3 linked regions of the Coturnix japonica genome follow. The protein of the gene in region 1 interacts with the protein of each later gene in a pairwise test. Links are inferred from orthologs where the notes say so. Each region holds a gene or a part of one and is shown in the gene's direction. Other genes may lie near its edges. The genes, in order: YTHDF1, DHX30 and PRRC2B.

Region 1 (5,397 bases):
TAAGTACTTGCTCGAAGGCTTGACAGACACTGTGCTTCAGTTTCCTTGTCCCTAAAATAAGGACCACTATATTTCCTAGTTCAGAAACATGGTCTAAGGATTAATTAGTCTGATGCTGATGTCTATTAAAACCCCTTTGGAATCTGTAATGGAGTCTTTAAGCAGACAAATATTACCTCTATGGCAAATGTATAGACATCTTAATACAGCTTCTTTCTTTTAACTAAAGGAGATGAAACGTTTAAAAATCACATAGGTGTTAATGAAAACCCCTTGAGCAGTAGGGGGCAGTACTTAGATACAAAAGTTACAGAACTGGAACACGTGGAACTGGTTCTCTTTAATTTGTCCGTAATGAATTTACATGTAATTGCACATTCTCTCCTGCTCCACGTGTCCTGTTCTTGAAGAATACACTGTCAAAATGTAAAGTACAGAATGTACCAAATCCCTCTGACAAAGGTTGTGTGAGGGCTCTATTAATGGGTTGTTGCAAATCACCTGTCCACAGGTAAGAATCATTACCTGTTTCCAGGAGGTATTTTACAAGCTATGAGCTGGCCTTCTACTGCTTCTAACCAACCTTCTTCTAAATGTGACCTCGGGAAGTGTTGGCAACATGGGAGGCTCCTCAATCTGCCTTCTTCATGACCACACCTGGGTGTTAGCAGTCCGAAGGCAGAAGAGTCAGGGAAGCTGTTACAGTAGGCTTAAAAAATCTGACTGTGGCACATGGAAGGTGGTACTGATGCACTGCAGTGTTGTGGTAGAGGTGTAATGAGTTGCTTAGCCTTTGTGACTACATTGCTTCTAGGGAAAGACCATGGGGTGATGGTGACTGGAGACACAGTTCCATGTTTGCTTTGCTCCAAGGGCGTATTCAATAATGTGTTGTATGCTACTAATATTTATCTTTGCTAGTATCAGGCTGATTTGGAATGAAAGTAATCAGTAAATGCAAGGGTTAAAGTATAGCTGGAGACAGCATGACAAATGTTCTTAAAGTTACCAGGAAGAAGCAACTCACATTTTCTTAATGCAAAAGTAAATTCTATATATAAATATTCACATAACCCACAAACATGGATGTAGGCATATACATACACCTGACATACTTTGTCTTTTAATCTAAAATAATAGGTAGAGTCTAACAGCTTTAGTTCACTGTACCTTGGGATGTTGAAACACAGTACTCACATGCTGCCTACATATATTCATGGCTAAGATGATTCATAGTCATACAGTTTCTATATCAAGCCTAGTGAACATATACAGTCACATACCCTTCAAAGCAGTGCTCAGAAGCATCCAGGTCTATCCTTTTCTTCCTTCCTTCTTACAGATGTTCCACTCTCATGCCATGCTGTTTGCTTTTTCACACTCGTTACTGAAGCAATGTCCTTAAATGGCCTTTCTGGTGCATGCAGGGATTCTTGGGAGCACAGATTTACCTACTTTACACATTATACATATGGAGGATCTCATTCTGATCCATGTTTTTTTTTTTCTCTTCCATCTCAGATGTGCTTATATCGTGTGTATCTGGCAACTGTAAGTGGTACATTCACATCATGAAACCTACACAAAAAGTACGTTTGAAGGCAACGGAGACACCAAACTAAATCACTGCAGAACTAAATCACTGCAGGCATTTTGACAGTCACAAGGAAACAAACACACACAAAACAGGCTTTTGGCCAAATTAAGGACATCCCCGTCCTATAAACAGTTGCGGGGTGACCTCATAGCAGCCTTTCAATACCTGAAGGGAACTTACACCCAGGAGGGGAGGAAACTCTTGGAAAGGGCTGACAATAGCAGGACACGGGGAAATGGTTTGAAGTTAAAAGAGGGAAGATTTAGGTTGGATGTTAGGGGGAAGTTCTTCACTAGGAGAGTGGTTAGGCCCTGGAACAGGCTGCCCAGGGAGGTTGTGGATGCCCCGTCCTTGGAGGTGTTCAAGGCCAGGTTGGACGGGGCCCTGGGCAACCTGATGTAGTAAAGGTGTATGTTTGGTGGCCCTGCCAGGCAGGGGGGTTGGAACTACATGATCCTTGAGGTCCCTTCCAACCCGACTCATTCTGTGTGACTGTGATTCTGTAATACCGACATGGAGCCCATCCCGCCTCTCCCTCCCGCCCCACCACTTTGCGCATGCGCCACAGGTGCGGCCCCGCTCCGCGCGCCTTCCCCGCTCTCCCGGCGTGCCCCGCGCTCAGGCCCTGACGTCACCTCAGCCGGCCGCCCGCCGCCATTGGAGTTGGCGGTTCGGGCTCCGTCCCTCACATCGGCCCGGCCCGGAGGCATGTGAAGGGACGGGGCTGGCAGGGCACGGCGAGACACGAGACTCGGTGCCGGCCTATCGTCCCCCGGATCCCCCTTGAGGAGAAGCCGAGCTGCGCCGTGCGGGCCCCTTTCCCCTCCCCCTCGGCCCATTCCCTTCCCCGGCCCTGTGCACTGAGGCGCCGCCGCCTCCCTCCCGGCCTGTCTGCTGAACCACGGCGGCCCTGTACATGAATTATGTCTGCCACAAGCGTTGACCCTCAGGTAAGTGGTGCTGGGCCGGGGCTGGCCCTGCTGATCTGGGCGAGTTCAGGCCTGGATCGCTCTCAGTACCTTCGCCTGAGGGCACAGCGAGCTGCTATGGCCGTGTGGGGTGTTTATGGGGCTGGATGGGCCTTGAAAGCTGCTCCTCGAGAGCTCAGACAGCTCCCATTGCCTTACAGCTGTTTCCTATGAGATCCCCCCCATCCCTCCCCATGAGATGTGTGTCGATGTGAACGTTTTCCTAACATCAGTTTCTTTGTTTCCCTTCTTTCTGTTTGTTTGTGTTGGTTTTTTTTTCCTGCACCCGATCGTGTGCTGTGGATTTTCCAGAGACCGAAAGGACAGGATAATAAAGGTGAGTATCACGCTGAGATCTTGCTGTTGAAGCAGCCCCTGCAGGAGATGAGCTCTGCAGGTACCTGTGGGTTTAGCAGCCCCTGTGGGCAACGTGTGGAACAAAGGAAGTTGTGCTTTGTTTCAGAGATGTATAAACTGTTATTTACACGGTCTTGAGTTCATCCCACTTATTGCTATGGAGTTTACAGTGGGAAGAAATGTGAGATCATGCCCAGCGTGCTTATAGTCTCCTCATTTCCTTTGGAATAACAAAAAACTATGAGGGTATCTGTTCAGTGTATGAGTATTTGTACGTAGTTTGCATAGTCGTTTCCTGCTATACAAATACAGTTCCATGACTGTACTGCTGTTGGCTCTACAGTTACGATCTGTGAGAAATGAGCCTATGAACTTAATTATATTTATTTAAAATTCCTTAAATAATTAACTGCTTGAGATAATAAACTTTTTATGTCAATATCCGTGCTCCATCTGATTTCTGATTTCAGCAAATCATTCAAGAAACCGATTCTATGATCACTATGTCATTGTATAAATGTTCAGCTTTAGAGACTAGCAGTATCTTCTACTCAAATGCTTTCCCATTTATCATAACCTGCCTTAAAAATCTCTGCTCACAAGAAGTTTGGCCCTGTTTTCAATATTGGTGTACTCTTTTTTGCTTCCATTAACAATCTTTCCAGAGTTACAAGTTCCCAAACTTCCATGCTAAACACTTAAGTCTTGTGTGGCTTTACTTCACCTGTTTGATGGAACAGTAGCTAAATTTTCTCCTCACGTAATGTGGTGTTTGAGCTTCTTTCCTTAGCATTTAAAGTGACACATGAAATCATTTGGTGTAACCCAATACATTTTGCTTTTGTATAGCATTAAGTAATGGGTAAGTAGGCATTTGGGTGAGAGAAATATCTCTCTTACAGGCTTTAAAGATTGAAATTTGGATTAAAAATGGCAGAATATCGATGCACATAGCAGTCATTGTTTATAATTAAATGTAAGCCCACCTGATCTTCCTGTAGCTAACTTAACTTAGGCAATAAACACCACATGCTGGGAGAGCTGTGAATTAGTTTCTGAGAGTTCTAATTATGGACCCAAACATCTGATGTTTCCTAATTTATTGCTTATACAGAACTCCTGTATTTTTTGGCTCAGAGATGATTCACAGAGGTTGTGTATTCACTCGTTTGTAGGAAAGCTTGATTTTTAAACACAAACTCAGTTCTGTAAGCAGTTATACAAAGTAAAATCAGGGGACAAAAGTGATCTGTATGGCTTTAAGATGCTTCATGCTGTGAAGAAGTGTGGCTTTACCTAAAGTGCCATAAAGTGGAACTCTACTGAAACACTCCTAAGCCGTATCATAATGTCTTGTAACTTTTTTTTTCGTAGTACAAAATGGTTCATTACATCAAAAGGATACAGTTCACGACAACGATTTTGAGCCTTACCTTTCTGGGCAGTCAAATCAGGTTGGTGTGTTTTTCACTTTATTTTCTTTATCTTAAGCATGCTTTTGGCACCCAGCTCCATAGGATTGTGTTGTGGAAGCAAATTCCTTATAGGCATGGAAAAAGAAATGAGTAGCGTATTGTGTTACTTAATAATACAACTAGCCTTGTGCTCCCAAAGCTAATATTACCCTGTGTATCCAGATAGCAACCAGTGAAAACTACATTAATGCTCCAAGTAGTGCCTACTGATTGCTCCTCATGTTGCAGGTTATTGATAGGGTTGGACTGTGACAACCTACTTGATCTTGCAGTTCTTTGATAGATGAGTTGCACGTGGGAGTCTGGAGTTGCTGATTTTGGGGTCTCACAGTTCATCTTTTCAGTAATCCTAGGGGTTAATATTGTTGAAATTTGGATATTGCTTTTAAGAAGAAATGGCAGATGTCCCGCTTGCTTTTCTCACTTCAACAAATATTGCTCTTCCATCCTCTGAAATATCTCAGGTCTGAAAAACATACTGTTTTAAAGGTAACGAACACCCTGTAATGCAAATTCTGAATAAAACAGTTCATTATACTGTACGTTAAGTGACCATCCAGGACTTAAATACCACTGTAGTCATAAAAATCTTCTAACTGAAGTAGTTTCTGACTTAACTTTCAATCTTTTTAAAGTGAATGAAATGTTTAGAAACTTTAAAGCCTTGGCAGAGGTTCATCTATTATTTGTTTTAAAAGTGCAGTTCAGCCTGAAGCTGATAGATGCCACTGTCAGTGTTGGTGACGTTGCTGAACTTGCTGGCAAGAAGAACCTCTGTGTGCTTAAAAGAAAGATGTAGGTACCTACATACATGAAAGCATAACTCCATTGACTCTTTGCTGCTGCTGCAACAAGAAGTTGGTGTGCTGCAAGAGATAACTCTGTAGGTGATCTTAATAGTTCTAATTGGAAAGTGACAGTAGCATTAAATAGGACTCTGATTTTATAATACTTGGAGAAATGATTCCTTCCCTAATTTATACAATGGTTGTTTAAAAAG
Region 2 (4,750 bases), on another chromosome or scaffold:
GTCAGGACAGATCCTGGACTTCAGGAGCCACAACAAAGGAATTGCTGCTCATGTTACATTCTGGGTTGAGGTTATTAAAGTGAGAATTAGGAGGCTGAGTTGCCCAAAGTCTGAAGAGATGCGAATGTAGCTTTTTGGTCACTGCAAAACCTGTCTGACTGAGTCCATTTCAGACACTTATTTCTTTCTTCCTTCTAAAGACTGTTCCCAAACTCCCTGTCCCTCACAACTTCCTCTGTCTCTCCCAGTATCCAGTGGACATCAGGGAGTCCAGGCCCCGGCTTGCTGATGACATGATGAACCTGAGCAAGGAGTCCGGCGCGATCAGCGACGCGATCACGGGGAAGACATACATCCCTATGCTGGAAGCAGAGGAGGTGCGCCTCAGTCAGAACCTGCTGGCCCTCTGGAAAAGGAGAGGATCCTCATGGCAGGAGAGCCACCCGCTGCCGGTGGATCCTCACAAGGACACCATCCTGTCAGCCATTGAGCAGAACCCTGTGGTTGTGATAGCAGGAGATACGGGCTGTGGGAAAACCACAAGGATCCCTCAGCTCCTGCTGGAACATTACATCCTGGAGGGCCGCGGCGCCCGCTGCAACGTCGTCATCACCCAGCCCAGGAGGATCAGCGCCATCTCAGTGGCCCAGCGTGTGGCACAGGAGTTGGGTCCCAACATGAGGAAGAACGTGGGCTACCAGGTGCGGCTGGAGAGCAAACCCCCTGCCCGGGGAGGAGCCCTGCTCTTCTGCACCGTGGGCATCCTGCTGCGCAAGCTGCAGGGAAACCCCAGTCTGGAGGGTGTCAGCCACGTCGTGGTCGATGAGGTCCACGAGCGAGATGTCAACACGGATTTCCTGCTCATCCTGCTCAAAGGCATCCAGAAGCTCAACCCCGACCTGCGCCTGGTCTTGATGAGCGCCACAGGAGACAATCAGCGTTTCTCACATTACTTTGGGGATTGCCCTGTGGTCAAAGTGCCGGGCTTCATGTACCCAGTGAAGGAGTACTACCTGGAGGAGATCCTGGCCAAGCTGGGTAGGCACCGACACCGGCACTATGAAATAAAGGTGGGTGTGCAGTGTGGTGTTGAAGCTGTTCCCACTGGACAAGGGACTGGCTTCTGGCGTATCAGCAGGGGGAGAGTTTGGGCCTGGATCTGGTCCCTCTTTCCTGTTGTCCGTTAGCAGTGTTTGCTTAGCTTTCATTCCAAGTCAACACCCATGAGCTAAATTTGGCTTAGCATCCCTTGTGTTTTAGTTAAGTTTTGGGTAAAGACAGCTTCATATTTGGGTTTAAGTTGCATTTTTCCCCTCTTCAGCATGAAGTGTATTTATGTTTGAGTAAGCTAACAGCTCAGTGTGCTTACGTATATGCAGCATGCAAGTCTAGTGCAAGATTCAGATGGCTCAGACGTGCCTTGGAGCAGCCTTGTTATCCGGGCACTCGTCGTCTTGCATGACTTGATTCCTCCATGGCCACCTTTTGCAATTAGTCTGACTGCTCTATGTTATTATTTTGGAGAGTGCTTCCAGATGTGTGCTGTGGGTAATCTCACTTCAGTGGCAGGTCGTGGAATCACAGAATGGTTGAGGTTGGAAGACCTGCAGGTTCATCTAGGCCAGCCCCCCTGCTCAGAGCATGGTCAGCCCAAGCAGGCTGCTCAGGAGAAGCTTTTGAGTATCTCCAAGGGCAGAGACTTTGCAGCTTCTCCAGTATTCAGTCTCTCCTGAGTAAAGATGGATTTTTCTATGCTTAAACAGAATTTTCTGCATCTTATTTGTGGCTGTTGTCTCTTGCCCTGTCAGTGGGCGCTGCCAAGAAGAGCCTGGCTCCCTCTTCTTCATTCCCCCTCACTGAATAATTATATGGGTTAAGGTACCTCTCAGACCCTTCATCATCCTCAAGGCCCTTCCCTCTTCTCTCTGTGGTAGCTCCATGGCTCTGCTTCCTGGCCTTTCTTCTTTCTGAACCACGGGAGGTTTCTGGCCACCTGTAGAAGTTCCTCTGTGTCTGAACAGCCATTTGGTGTATCAGCCACATCTCCTACCTTTGTGTCATCAGCAGATTTGCTGAGGGTGCCCTGTTGCATTCAGGGCCACCTTCCTGTTTCTGTTGTGGCTGGTTTTTTTTACCTTTTAGGCTGGCCTGACACACTTGTTCCAAATTACTGAGGCATAAAAGCTGCTGTTCTGTGTCTGGTGGGTTTGAAGGCTTAGGGCACACGTGGCACAGTTCTGGCCCCTGAAATTTCATCTAAGTTTTGCTACTTCATTAGAGGTTCCCAAGGGTCAGATAGCTTCCAGGTCTGGAGAGCAGGATAGAGGCTGCATCTTCACAGCACAGCAGAGGAAGCTGGCAGCAGCTGTGACTGGAGCACGGGACAGATGGAGCCAGACCAGACTCCTGAGGTTCCTGGTCCTGGGGAGGCCATCCAGCTACAGGCAATTGCTCTCTCCAGAAGATGCTTTGTGAGTTTGTGCACCTTTCTAACCAGATCGCTGCTTATTCCTCTGCACGTGTCCTCCTGGAATCACAGAGTATCCAGAATTGGAAGAACCCACATTGATGTTCAGTCTAAATCCTGTCTCCACACTGGGCAGCCCAAGATTTGGACTGTAGATGTGAGAGTGTTGTCCAAATGCTTCTTGAACTCCTTATAAATGTGGGGCTGTGACCACTTCCCTGGGCAGCCTGTCCCAGTGCCCAACCACCTTTTCGGTGGAGAATTCTTTTCTGATATCCATCCTGATCCTTGCCTGACACAGCTGGGAGTCATTCCCTTGCATCCTGCCCACCAAGTGTCAGCAGCTCCTTCTCTGCTCCCCATCATGAGGAAGCTGCAGACAGCAGTGAGGTCATCCCTCATATTAATATCCCTCATATTAAGCTTATTGTTAAGCAGAACCCTTCAGTCCCTTTTGTGGGGCTGCAATCCAGCCACTTGTCCCCAGCCTCTGTGTATATCCAGGATTACACCATCCCTGCTGCAGAATTTGTTGTTTGCTCTTAGTTAATTTCATGTGGTTGGTGGTTGCCCAGCACTCTACCAAGACTGCTGTGCGAGGCATCTCTACCCTCAAGGGAATCAGTGGCTCTTCCCAGTTCAATATCATCCAGAAATGTACACAGTGCACTCAGCTCTTGTGTCCAAGTCATTGATTGAAGTAGTGAAGAGAACTGGCCCTAAAATTGAGCCTGTAGAACCTGGCTGCTGGCCGCGGGCCTGATGTTGCCGCATGCCCTAGAACCCTTTGAGCCTGGCCCATCAGCCCATCCTCACCATCATGTCTGTGTGTGTCTGGCTGCGTGCCGGACATTTTGTCTAGAAGGATACTGTGGGATTATCAGAAGCTTTGCTGGAATCCCCATAGCCCAAACCCAGTGGGTGAAAAGGCAGTGGAGCCTTGTCATAAAAGGACATCAAGCTAGTAAGGCATGGCTGGTCTGCTGTGAACCCGTGTTGGTCTTGACTAATGGTATCTTGCAAGTATTTTATCACCAGCTCCTAGAACAGTCTTCAGAAGTTGACCAGGTACTGATTACCACCATCATCTTTCTTGCCCTTCTTGAAGATTAGAATAACATAAGCTTTCAATTGACCAGAATTGAGCAGATTCCTGTGGCTGTCAGCAGATAACTGAGAGGGGTCTTTCAGGACCCTGGGATGAATCCCATTGGAGTCCATAGACTAGGGTGCATTCAGCTGCAGCAGTAAATCGAGTCAGCTGGGAGCTTATCACTCCCAGGTTGTGGTGCTCCAACCCATGGTTGGTGTTAAGGTGGAGGCGAAGAAGCCATTAAATGTCTGCTTTGCTTTCACCCCTGCTTGATGGCCAACGTTATCAAGTAAAAACCAACCAAACAAAAAATCTACCACTTCTTTTTTATCGTCCATCTCAACGTGTCAGCTTCAGTTCTGAGTTTGGCCATGTGAATTTCTCCTTGGGAAGGCAGAGGGCGTCTCTGCAGTCCTGTATAGCCCTGACCTACCAAGCTCATACGCTTTGCTTTTCTGCCTGAGTTCTAGGAGGAGCTCCCTCTTCAGCCACGCTGCCTTCTGCTTCCTTGCTTGGCTTCTGACATGCTGGAATTGCCTGTTCCTGCACTCTTAAAAGATGGATTTGCAAATGTCACCACCAATGGTAGACCCCCACCCCCATTACTAACCAGTTCCTCGAGCAGCCTGCAGTCTGCTCTCCTAGAATCCAGGGTTAGTAGCTCTGCTGCCAGTCTTCTCCATATCTCAGCTCAGCCATCGCATGATGACAAAGAGCAGAGCTAGGATGGCACTCCTCCTGCCAGCTCCCATAGTACCTGTATCAAAACGTTACCTTGCTGTGCTTACTGTTTTATCTAGCAATCAGATGATGAATGTGTCCTTGATCTTGATCTGATCACCGACCTTGTACTCCAGATTGACGCCCATGGAGAACCAGGTAGGTTCTGCTTTGCCCTCCTCCCCTTTACTTTTTCGGGAGGGGGGAAAACAAAAAGTGGTATTTACAGAACCCAGACCCCTGGCATAGGAAATCCTGTGCTGAGTTCTGCAGGACCACCCTGATCTCCTGCCTCAGCCAGGGGAAGTGAGCAGTGCTCAGAGCGGTTGCTCAGGTTTATCTCTGGAGTCCAGAAGGGTATCTGGAAGCAGGGTTGGATGCAGGTTCCTGTGCTGGTGTGTCTCAGTCGTTGTGTCCTGAGGTACAGCTGTTGCTGGGCTCAAGTGCTGGACTGGTTTGTGCACCAGCCT
Region 3 (5,226 bases), on another chromosome or scaffold:
AGGGTTGTGAGCCCTCTGCAGTGGTTATTTTCTATTTGACAGGATTCTTAATTAGTGGAAGAATGAAGCACACAGCAGGGTTCCTGCATTCAGTTGTAATTAATCTTGGGAAGAGGAAGCAGGGGGTTGAATTTGACTCTCATGTCTGGGGGAAATTCACTCAGCTCTCTGGAAGAGGTCAGAAATCAGAGTGGGCAGCAGAACGGATCCTGCACAGAGCTGTGCACTGAGCTTCAACCTGGCAAAACCTGTTTGCTGATTTCTACCTCACCCTACTCACTGCCATCTGCCGTGGGTCTAATTCCACCAGTGAAACCAGTTCTGATTTATACACGGGCAGGTGAAAAGCGCCGCGGGACACTTCTAGAATGGCACAGGAATTTGTCACTTCATGACAAGGCTTTTGTGGCCTCCCCACAAACCAAGCTGTGTTGGTGACACTCTTTTCTGTGATGGGAACAGGTGGTGGCTTTTCACTGTTTAGATTATACAAAGAAGCCCATTCCCAGTGCAGTCCTGTGCCATAAGACTGGACAAAGCTCCATGGAGCTGCCTCAGCATGCTGGAGAAGCCATCAGTTTGCAGGAGCCGCAGCGTACACACATGATAATGAATGTGGAATTGTCTTTCATTTGCTTACTGCGTCCTTTTGATCTCCACAACAGGTTGCACGAGCGTTTTCTTTAATTGGCACATCAATTCCCTTGGCCTTGGATCGTTGCCTTGGAGATACACCAGAGACCTTGGGAGAACTGCTTATTACAGCAGCAGGTGTGCATAGCGCTGACCTGGACAAGTCTGTGAGTCACCTGCCAGTGGCTTGGGTTGTAGGTGGCTGCATGAGTCACTGAAAGCAAGGGGATCCCACAGTGCCCAGCCTCTGAAGGGCAACTAATAATGCTGTTGGGTGTTTGTTGTTATGGCTCATCAATACTGTGCAGTGGGAGGTCAGTAGAGCAGGGAGAAAGGTGAGCTCCTCTGTAAGGAGAGAAGGTAGAGGGTATTGATAACCCCAATATGTGATGGGGAAGGTGGGAAGAGATGCCAAAGCAGTGAGATATTTTGATATAGAGAGATAGAGGGGATCCAACAGCCAGGCAATGAGTCTGGTGCATCTCTGGGTAGCTCAGCTCCTGGCAACTTCAGTAGCTGTGCAGATGAACCGTAGGAACAACACATATGGTCCTGAAAATGGTTCCTGCATTTCTTCCCTCTGTATCACTCTCAGTGTGTTTGAGATCTGACATCTCTCATGATCAGCACACTGGATCAAAGGGTGAACTTGGAATAAGTCAGTTCCTCTGGGCAAGAGCCCAGGTGTTTATTCCATATATATATTGATATACCCACACACACATGTGTATAACACGTATTTAAGGGGGTGATCCAGTATTCCTTCATGATATTTGCAGGCTTGGTTGTCCAAGATATCTCCAAGATGGCTCAAACTGAGGAGAGGTTTGAGACATTAGTGTCAGCTTTGAGGTGAAGCACCTGTATTTAGCAGCTGTAAATCCACAGCTGGTGCATCAGAGCATGCAATAGGGAGAGATGAATATAACCGGGGGAGGTTCAGGTGTTAGAAGAGTGTTAGAGGACAGGGATGGAGAAATAAAGGGAGAAATGGAACCTGAGATGACAACTCACAAGGTTTAAGATGCCTTGAACAGAGAACTGTGTTTCATGACGACTCCTACAGCATTTTCAGAGCAAACCAGGGATGCTGCTCACACTGCGCTGCCCTCAAGGCTGAGGTGGGACCGTTGGCCTCACGAGGCCGCTTGTTCCCGTCTCGCTCCGCTGAGGCGGACGCTCGGCTCCTTTCTCCCCTCCTCCTCCGCCATCTTGGCTCGGCCCTCAGCCGCCGTTCCGGCGGAGCTCTGCAGGCGGCGCTGTGAGGAGGGAGGCGGCGGGTTCCCCCCGCGCGGGATTGACAGGCCGGGCCGGGGGAGGAGGAGGAGGGAGAGGAGGGAGCGGCAGCGAGAACCCGTATCGCCCCGCATCCCCCCGCGCAATCCGCCGCCATCCGCCTCGCCCCGCGTCCATCACTGCTCCATACCCGGCTCCTCAGGCGCTCCCGGCTCCCAGCCACCCCCGCAGGTGGGTATCGGGGGCCGGAGGCGGCGGCGGCCGTGGATGTTCGGGGCGGTGAGTGGGAACGGGGGGGGTGGAGGAGAAGGAGGAGGAGGGAGGGGAGGGTGAGGGAAGGTGGGACGAGGCAGCGTTAAAATGGAGCCGGGGCCCAGCGGCTGCGGCACCCCGGGCCTGGAGCCGCTTCATTGTCCTCGAGCCGCCCCCGCTGTGAGGCTGCGGGGCCTGGCCGGGCCGTGGGGCTGCTTAGGCCGCGGGGCTGGGGGCTGCCCGAGCTGGGGGGAGGCCGTGAGGATGGCGGCTGGTTTGGTTCATCGGGTGTGACACAAAGATATTTTCGTCGCGCTGTTGTGTTCGTCTCGACAAAACAAGGAGGGGGAGGCTGCGATGGGGGGGCAATCAGAAGGCTCTGGGTTGTTTTGTTGTGGTGCGGGAGACTGTGAAAGGGTTATTGGGAGAGCTGAAATGTTGCTTGGTGAGAAGGGGGGATGGGGGGTTTGGAATGAGAGAGTTGGTGCTGGTGCTCGGGGAGTTGTGGGTGGGTTTGTAAAGGTGCTTTGGGTTCTTGGAGCGTGGCTGCTGTGGGGTGGCTCTGAGATGGGCCCTGGGTGCGTTCAGAGCCGTGCAGGGTTTGTTCAGCAGCTGTGGATGTGAGCAAGCGTAATATGCGCTTTTTGTATCAATACCGACAAACCTCTTCGTCTGTGGAATCAAACCTGACCAGGTCTGGGAGTTGTGGGTCTCCTTAGGAAAGTTGCTTTGATTTGCTCTGCGGGTTTCTTGTTGTTGTTTTTGTCCTGTGAACGTCAGAAGGGCTCGGATGGTCTGATCGGGGTGGGCTTGTTGAACATTCATGTCTTTGTCAGTGGTATTGGGGATGATAACGTGATAAAGAAATGCTCAGGACCTGAGAAATTCTGTTTCTAGAAATGGGTGGTGAGTGCAAGCAGGTTGCAGTTTTGCATCATCAGCTGCAATAAGTCCAGAAGGAAGAAATCCCACTTGTTCCAGGACTGAATCAAGGCTTATGTGGAATGCTTTGTCTTGTCTTAGCACTTACCTTGTTGAGATACCTGCCCATGTTTTTCACCTGAATTGAAATACAGTAAGTGTGCCTCAGTTCCATCAGGAGTTCACCCAGGATCCTTCAGATCCTTGTGGGTCTATGGGTGATGCTCTTTCTCTCAGGGCTGTGGTGGAAGAGGTTCTTCCTAGCTAGCAGAATCTATTTTGGGGGCACGATAAACAACACCTCTCCCATCTGACCTCTTGGAAACTGCATTATATGGTGCTCACCACATACTTCGGATGGAGTTTCCCAAGCTGAAGTGGGAACAGTAAGGAAGCAGCCCATCCAAATGCAGGGAAATAGAGGCAGGATTTAAAAACGTCTTGGTTTTAATAAATCTTGACTAATGTTTCTAAAGGTTCCTAATAGAAGGTTTTAACTTCTACGGAGACATTGTAATAAAACCCTCTATTAAAGCTTTCTGTAGCGCCTAACTTCAAAGGCTCATTTACTCCAACAGCCTCTTAAAGGAAGGAATGGCGTTGTGTTTTGTTTGAGCCTCCCTTTTCTTCACTGTGTTCCTCCCGTGTTCTGCAAGCTGGCAACGATTGTGATGTTTCAGTATCACTCTTGCTTTCCTTGCTATTCATACCTTGTAAGTGGGTTTTGTTTTTCATGTGGCACTGACTCATTCTCCTAATAGGTCGATAATTTCTCAGCTCCTTATCACTAGTTTGTCACTTGGAACAGAAGAAATGCAGTCGGGTATCATCAGGCATTGAGGTGAAAGCGCTGCAAACAGGTAAAAGCTGGGGGACAAGCAGTTCTCTCCTTGTTAACAGAGAGGAGAACAAACCTGCTAGGAACTGTGTAGCTGTGAATCCTGTGTGCTTTGTGTTCTTCTTTGGAAGCACTGGAGCTGTAACTCAGGTGGGCTGGAAGCTGGTGTGGTAGCACTGCAGCGCTCCTTGTCTGGCATTTGGTTTGTATGGAAGCTTGATGTGCTGTGGGCTCTGTGAGGACAGGGGGATGTTTGGGGGTGTTAAGAGGTGTGTGCCCCATTCTGAATGGGGTCACAGTATGTGTTCAGTGCCTGGTACTGAGCACCTACATTGAGCTGGAAGGGATGAGAGCTCTCTGTTGCATCTTTCTGAATTAGAATCTAGATTGGAAAACGCATTCCAAGATCATGGAGTCCAACCATCTAAAGGGACCGTAGGTGTTAATTTATGGAGGACTATTGGAAGCACTTTTGGTTGCAGTGGAAGAAGTAATGGCAGGATTTGGAATAGGCAAAAGTGAAAGAGGAGGCCAGACTAAAGTATGGAGGCTTAAAAAGGAAACACAAGGGCAAGCAACTGAGGGCTTGCTTAATGGTATGCTTGGATATGGCCAAAAAGACTATGCTATTGCAGTGCAGTACTTGAAATGCACAGAGGGCTTGGGTTAGGTGCTGGGAGCATCCTTGATAGCCTTTGAAGTTCAGGTGAGTGGCACAAAGAGGAGCAGAATGCGGTGTTCACACAGATGGCATCCTATTGGAAGGGGTTTAGTGGAAGAGTCCTTCCTGGGTTGCTGTTTAGATGTTTTAGACACCACACTTGCTGTTAATGGTGCTGCATTGAGCCAAGCAGGTTTGAGGAGCTCGTGTTGGGACTTCACCTCCCACAGGCACTTTTTGTGTGGGAATATAGTGGTATTTTTTTGGAAGCGTTCTGCAGTGGGGTGGGTTCTTCAGCTGTTCCTACCTGTGTGTGGGCTGGGAGCCCTGTACAAAAGCCTTGTGTGCTCTTGTTCAGAGTTTGGAGTGGGCTGCAAAGCCGGCAGGGGAGTAGGGGCATGCTCAAGAAATGTTTCTTAATGGTTGAAATAGTACAGAGTATGGTTTTATCTTCTTAAATAACCCAAGAATTGAGCTCCCACCTAGCAACCAAAACTTTATGGCCAATTATTTAGGAGTGCTTTCATGAGATTCAAGTTTTACTACCGTGTTAGTGCTCTGCATCTGAGCACAATGTTGCTTCTGGTGATGGCTGTGATCCTGCTGTAGTAAAAGCAATGTATGGAGTTGGCAGTGTTCTCCCAGCACAGCCTGCACCTCCAGAGTTCCCCTGGCCCAGGACTTT

The links.
Region 2: the proteins of YTHDF1 (region 1) and DHX30 interact in a two-hybrid assay, tested with the Homo sapiens proteins (2 studies listed by BioGRID, with this or other methods). The link is inferred for Coturnix japonica from reciprocal best matches to the Homo sapiens genes YTHDF1 and DHX30.
Region 3: the proteins of YTHDF1 (region 1) and PRRC2B interact in a two-hybrid assay, tested with the Homo sapiens proteins (2 studies listed by BioGRID, with this or other methods). The link is inferred for Coturnix japonica from reciprocal best matches to the Homo sapiens genes YTHDF1 and PRRC2B.

The regions. Positions count from the first base shown.
Region 1 is NC_029535.1:7,815,444-7,820,840, reverse strand, and holds the start of YTHDF1 (YTH domain-containing family protein 1), read left to right. Parts: upstream 1-2,206; 5' UTR 2,207-2,520; coding exon 2,521-2,547; intron 2,548-2,877; coding exon 2,878-2,902; intron 2,903-4,296; coding exon 4,297-4,376; intron 4,377-5,397.
Region 2 is NC_029517.1:677,331-682,080, reverse strand, and holds part of DHX30 (ATP-dependent RNA helicase DHX30), read left to right. Parts: intron 1-248; coding exon 249-1,070; intron 1,071-4,360; coding exon 4,361-4,439; intron 4,440-4,750.
Region 3 is NC_029532.1:4,747,534-4,752,759, forward strand, and holds the start of PRRC2B (protein PRRC2B), read left to right. Parts: upstream 1-1,966; 5' UTR 1,967-2,100; exon of another isoform or gene 2,101-2,148; intron 2,149-5,226.